Regions from separate parts of the Mus musculus genome. Here region 1 is reported to be linked to region 2. Evidence: microRNA targets listed by miRTarBase, many of them from high-throughput screens and not tested one by one. Region 2 holds a microRNA gene; the other region holds the end of a gene's coding sequence.

The links. Region 2 holds the annotated microRNA mmu-miR-2136 (CUGGGUGUUGACUGAGAUGUG, at 1,336-1,356, shown strand). A microRNA usually pairs through its seed, bases 2 to 8, with sites in the 3' UTR of a target mRNA and lowers its output. Matches are read on the target gene's strand: a 7mer-m8 pairs with bases 2 to 8, a 7mer-A1 pairs with bases 2 to 7 and ends in A, and an 8mer does both.
Region 1: the mRNA of Tmem176b is a reported target of mmu-miR-2136. Seed matches in the 3' UTR shown: 7mer-m8 at 2,542-2,548.

Annotation. Positions count from the first base shown.
Region 1 is chr6:48,831,498-48,834,799 of GRCm38, forward strand. Tmem176b (transmembrane protein 176B) reads right to left here. Exons shown (of 7, transcript NM_001164207.1): 6 at 3,010-3,129; 7 at 2,314-2,642. The coding sequence ends at 2,556. Among named protein-coding and RNA genes, the nearest start is that of Tmem176b, 8.2 kb to the right of the region's middle.
Region 2 is chr9:104,424,828-104,428,129 of GRCm38, forward strand. Mir2136 (microRNA 2136) reads left to right here and starts at 1,286; the gene lies at 1,286-1,360.

The DNA of each region.
Region 1 (3,302 bases), not on the chromosome of region 2:
CTATGGAACAGAAATGTTTGTCTTTTCCTTCCGGTCCTCTTCATGCAATTATGAGATAATGTTATAAGCCTCCTAATGGCTGGAACTAAAAGGAGTTGGAGGTTATTTTCCTTCCAACTCCCCATCATTCTATATATGGCAGCTATCTCTCCTAATGCCCTTCCACTTGAAGGTCTCACCATGGCTGTCTAAGGCTATAATGCTATGACTCTCCTAATCGAGATCCTTTGAACGGTAATTTGCCTCACCTTCCTTTCTATGAACCTACAGATTTCTTCATATCTTTAACAGATGCTAGCATCAAAATATCCTGGGGTATAAACTCACATTACACCACATCTCCTGCCCCTAACAACTTCATGATTTCAAAGAGCAAGGTGTGGTTTCTACTAAGTTTTTTCTCTCCCTGACTGGAGTTTCTCCCTCCTCTTCCTCAACATGTACAGAGTCACCCCAGGTAGCACATATACAAAACTGAAGACTGGGGCACTCTTATGGGGCTGTCCTGTGGTGCACTAGAGTTGCCTACTGTAAGTGGAAACAGAAATGACAGTGTCTCAAGTGGGAGAGGCAAGGTCCTGCTTCAGAGGAGAGAGGATGCTCAGGTGGATGGGAAACCCAACAGTCCCTTCAGTGTGACAGTGTCATGACAGTTACAAAGAAAATTCCTCTGAATAGGAACATTTCATTCTGGAGGGTAGCTCATTAAGACCAAAAACGCCCTAAAGGAAGGCTTGCTAAGAATAGAAAAATAAACAACTCAAAAGTCTCAGGGAGTTCCAGAAACTTACAAGGCCCCACTCTCCCTAAAACTATATGAGCAGGGAAGATTACAGAGGAGGCTTAGGTCAGCCAAACTGCCTAGAGAAAATTCTCCACTCATCAAACTGCCTGAAAGTTATGTAGATAATTCCATGATCCCAGGTCTTACAAAGTGTCACTTATGTTAGGGTTTTAGATGATGGTGGTGCCTTTGAGCCCTCTATGTTCCTGTAAGTATCCCCTAACACACACTCCTATAAGTAACCTCAGTAAAGTCACTGGGCCATGGAAGTTGGACTTTGGTGGTATTCTTATTTTGGTCTGTTGTTACTTCCCTATCTGTGCTGAGAAGATATACATTTATGTCTCCTCAGGAATAGTACCAGGACAGATAGGCTTGCTGACTGAGACATTATCAGTTCCTTTTTCTAACATACTCCCTTCCTCTTTTTGACTTAATAAAAATATGCCTGGGATTGAGGCACTAACAATTTTCACTTGGGGCTTTTTGGCTCAAAAATGGCTGTCTTTCCCCTGAATCTCCAAACATGGTTGCATTCCGAGCCACTGGGGATTTCACATTCAACATAGATTTTGAGGGGAACATAGTTATCTTAACACATAACACCTATGACCTTCAACTCCACCACAGAGGTTGATGAAACTGTGCCCTCTCTTGGCCTCTGAGGCATCCAGGACTGCCCCTGCTATACTATGGGCTGGAATCTTCACAGGTGGAACTCTGGGCATCTATGAATGAAAACTAAGAAGTACTCCTGCCTAAGTAAGCCATAGTTTCTTGAGATTTAGCTATTGACCAGGCAACAATGCCAGTGCACACTGAGGCAGGGGAATGCTCATCACTTTGCACTGCGCCAACTAGTTAAGCACCAATAGCAATCGGAGCCCCTCCCCCAGTGTCATCTTTATAACTTCCTTGTGTTCCTTACCTCTGACAGAAACTCGACAAACACTTCACACTACTTTCTTGCCTGGCACTTCACACTCTTTGATGTCTCACCTTCTAAACAAATTATATGTCTTTAATTCCATGAGACCCAAACCTACAGGCCTGTCTATAGCAACTGACCCTTGAACATGTAGTGGGATGGGTTCTGGGAGAATCAACTTAAAAGTATGTAAGATCACCTGAAAGAAGGGCTTCTCAGTAAACATGTATATGTGGTGGGAGTGGGAGTAATTTGATTATGTTAATTGGGGGGTAAAGACCCATCCACCACTGGAGCCACCATTCCCTAGGCATGGAATCCTGAACTAAGAGAAGAGAAAGAGAGCCAAGCACTAGTATGTACACATTTACCATTCTCTGCTTCTGATTGTGGGTGTGATATGACCAGCTTCTCCAGGCTCCTGCTGCTTTTGATGCTCCCCCCGCCAACTGATGGACAGGATAATAAGATAAACCCTTTCTCCCACAAGTTGTTTTTGCCAGAGTATTTATCAGGCTCCACCACCACTCTTCTGCCCACATGACAACTCAAGAAATGGCCTTTCCTGGCTCATTGTCTGTCTCAATGCAGAGCCCACACCTTTCTGTGAGAGGGTATTATTTTCAAGTTGTTTCTCCTTTATCGGCATTGGATAAAATGACATAATATCTGTTCGTGGAAGAAAGGACATTGGCGTGAGGACAGTGGGGAGAGAGGGAGAGAAAGAGGGCTGAATAGTGGCTACATCAGAAGTAGGTGTGTGCTGCGGGGCCAGAAGAGGCCCTGGGAACAGTCGCGTCCTCCCTGGATTACTATGGACAGGGACACGTGGGTGTGGGCGGATCACAGGATAGCAGGGATCTTCTCTTTGGCCGGGGACGCAGGTGCTGGATGCCCATCAAGAAGCTTCCTCTCTGACTCTTCTTCATTCTGAAAAGACAAGAGGAGGAAGAGATTCATGAATGGAAGGTGAAGACGCCCGAGGAGGTTTCCGCACTTGAAAGCAGCAGAAGAAGGGACCGACAGGGAATGACAGCAAGGAGGAGCTCTCCGGCAGGAAAGGTGAGGGGCAGAGTAGGAGAAGTGAGGAACAGACTTCGACAAAGTGGGGAATGAGCGTGAAGGCAGCCACAGAAAGGCACAAGGTAGCAGAAGCCAGCTGGGACACAAGATGGGTTCACACTCCACAGACAGTGAGGGATGAAGGAAGATCAGGGACTTCTGAACCCATGTGTTCCTCTCCCCTCTTCACTGCGGAGACCCACATTGCCCAGCAAGCCCCTTCCCGAACACTCACCAGGGCCTGGGAGCTCCGGCCATACATACTTCGGAGACTTAGTCCCAGGGAAGCCACAGACACAACAATCTCCAGGATACAGACCACTGTGAGCATGATGCAGAACGCTAGGAACAAGTTCTAGAGGCAAGGGAAGAACAGACTCAGTCAATTGTTGGCTCCCCTGATTCACATCGCCACCTTTCCAAAGCCACACTCAGTCCAGACACTTTCCAGGAAAGCAGGTGGCATCCTCTAGTGACAAGGTGGCCACCATTTCTAATCCACTTGCTTGGCTGGTGGAAATGACACCA
Region 2 (3,302 bases):
TTTCTTTCTCCCACATATTACATCCTGACTACAATTTCCCCTCCCTTGACTCCTCCCAGTCACTCCCACCCAACCTCCTCTTTTTCCTAGATCTACTCTTCATGTTTTCCTTCAGAAAAGAGCAAGCCTCCTAGAGATATCAACAAAACGTGTCATAACAAGCTACAATAAGACTAGGCACAAATTCTCATATCCAGGCTGGACAAGGTGACCTACTGGGAGGAAAAGGGTTCCGAAAGCAGGCAAAAGAGTCAGGGACAACCGTTATTCCTACTGTTAGGAGTCTCACAAGAATCCTAAGCTACACAACCATAACATACATTCAGAGGACCTAGGTCAGACCTATACAGGATCCCTGATTGTCAGTTCAATCTCTGTGAGCCCCCACAAGCCTTGCTTAGTTGATTCTGTGTGCCATGTTCTTGTGGTATCCTTGAAAACCCTAACATCACTACAAAATAAAAACCAAGCAACTCATATTTAGCATATTACAGCAGCCATCTCTTTGGAAAAGGATGCATCATTTTCTTTAGAAAGGACTCTGATGGTGCAAGTCCTTTGTGATGATCACGTTCAAGCCTTGAGACTTTTTTTTATAAAAGGAGATCTAAAACAAGATTCTCAGAAGTGTTCGTAAGTAAGCCCTCTTAAATCAAAGAGAAATGTCAAGTACTAAAGTAATGTTAACTAAGAAGAAAATGGATATAAAGCCATTCAACATAGGACCTAGGAGGCTATTAGTAGCCCTGGGCAAACAGTCCCTGTCCAAGCGTGTAGACAGGGGTCAGAAAGCAGGGAAGTGAACAGGACCAGGAAGAGGAGGCAGAGACCCCATCTGAGCTCTCTCAGACCAGCAGGACAGTCTGAGCAGGTGAATGGTGGGGACTGAGCTAGTGAGACCTGACCACAGAGACAGAGCACAAGCACTTATGGCTTAGGGGTGGAGCTCCTTCCAAAGGCAGGGGAAGGGCTTCTGTATGCAGGGGGTCTGGTATTCACAGCCTTCCAGGTGGGAGGACCAAGACCTGATACAGAAGGTTGGGCTGCATGGTGGCCAGTGCAGAATCACTGTCTAGGATGGACCGTTGCCTTTGCTGTGTTGCTCAGAAGCCAGATGCGTTGTTTTTCTGGCACCATCTTGCTTCACCTTCACCACTGGAATAGACTATGAAATACTGTCCCACAGAGACTTGCTGTGGGAATTTTGTGGTTTAGATTTTCCACCACTAATTTAATTCCTTATCCTGTGGGTTGGAAGTGTAGACCTTGGTTGGCTCAGGCATATCCGCGTATCCAGTCAGGAGTCAGTTAGGAAGTTTTAAGTCTGAATTAATTCTGGGTGTTGACTGAGATGTGGTGGGGACCAGACCATTTTGTCACAGAATAGTGTGTGTGTGTGTGTGTGTGTGTGTGTGTGTGTGTGTGTGTGTGTGTGTGTGAAGATCAAGATTATCATGAAGCAGTCAATTGATAGAGGTCTGGAAACCCCTCTGGGCATGGGCTGCACGTAACAAAAAAGAACAGATGTGACTCTCTGAGCTTTCCCAGAGAAGTTACTGGCTAGCCACTTGCATGTCTCAGGACTGGCCAGGCTCTCTTGTTGGCTTTCATCCTCAAGAGCATCATTCTGTTCTTTCACTAACTGCCTTTATTTCTATCAAACACAAGTCCCTGGTTCAGTTAGTTGGTCCAGATAGAAGCACTCTCAGCAGCCACCCTCTCTGGACTCAGATCCACATCTATAACAGTATAGTTTTGTTGATCTGCAGGCTAGCCTGGGCTTCTCATTTGCATGTTAGCAGGGCATGGTTCCAAGGAAAAAAAAATTTCAAGGTCCTTTCAAGTACAGGCTGGGCACGGGTCTCATCATGTTACTGCACTAACATTCCCCTGGCCAAGCAAAGCATGGAACCAGGTCAGACACAGGAAGTTGGAAAACAGATGTTAATGGGAAGGACTGCAGAATCATACTGCAAACAGGTATGGATATGTGGGGGGAATAACTGAGGCCACTTTCTGCAAACAATCTGTCCATTTGCCCTTTTTCTTCCATGAGCAGGCAGAGGCAAAAAAAAAAAAAGGGATCTAAGTCACTTTATAGTTTATACAGAAAATCAGCTCTTCTTCCCACAGGGCCACGCCTGCTCAGGCACCCACCCACAGGGCCACGCCTGCTCAGGCACCCACCCACTGAGCGAGCTGGAGGATGCACAGTCACTACTGCCCCACTGTTTGGTCTTGGGCCTGGAGAGCAGGCTTCTTGGTCCTGATTGCCTTGGATATACCTCACGGCCCCTCATATTTGAGAAGCTTTCGGTAATTGCTTGCTACCTGAAGGAACCATTTGTGTGTGTGTGTGTGTGTGTGTGTGTGTGAGGAATGTAGAACGCTGGCAGAAGGGAGAATTCAAAAGAGACAATCAAGCCCCATGGCTTCTGAGACTGTCCAATGCAAAAATGTCATCCCAGCGATGCTCTACCTCCTTCTTGGGGGGATGACCGATAGTCCCACAAAACTAAGGTAATTAAGCTGTCAGCTCTTTGGGCGAAAGCCTTGGCAAACTCTGATCTGTAAAGACTTTTTGCCTTCCTCCTTCACTGTTCTGATGGGAGCCATCTTTAGGATTTCCGGTAGATGCACAGAGATGAAGGTGATCCCGAACTGTGTTCCATGGACCCCTTTCCTGGGCCAGTCCTTCAATATGAAATATGCTATGGCCTCTTTGCATGGCACACGACCACCATACCACATCCCCCATGTGCCTTTTGTGAGAATTAAAAACTAATTACAGAACGCGTAATTAAATGCTTCATCCTTCAAATCCTGAAAAAAAGAAACAACAACAACAACATCAACAAACAACAACAACCGAAAAACCAAACTAAGTGTTCCTTCCTTTGAACTAGATTATACTACTGGCAGTTGAGGACCTGATGCACTCTGTAAGGGGAAGGGTATGATTTGAAGCCTATTGCTTTCTTTTACAAACATAATAAAAGGCTAGAACTTGAGGGCAGGTTTACCATTTCCTATCCTGGAATCAGGGTTGATTGGAGCAAAGGCTTCTTTTTTGTTCTCCTTTAGTTGATGGAGCAGAGTTTACACACTCACTGTTAGTTGATAGAGCAGATCTTACACACTCACTGCCTGAGGTTTACACATTCACTGCCTGAGGTTTACACACTCACTGCCTGAGGTTTAGGTGTGGATCCATGAGGCAGACAGCAACGACTAGTACTCATGTGATGTTTTAGAACTGTTGAAAATGTGTTTATGCCTGGTATTAGTTTTTGCCACTGTGC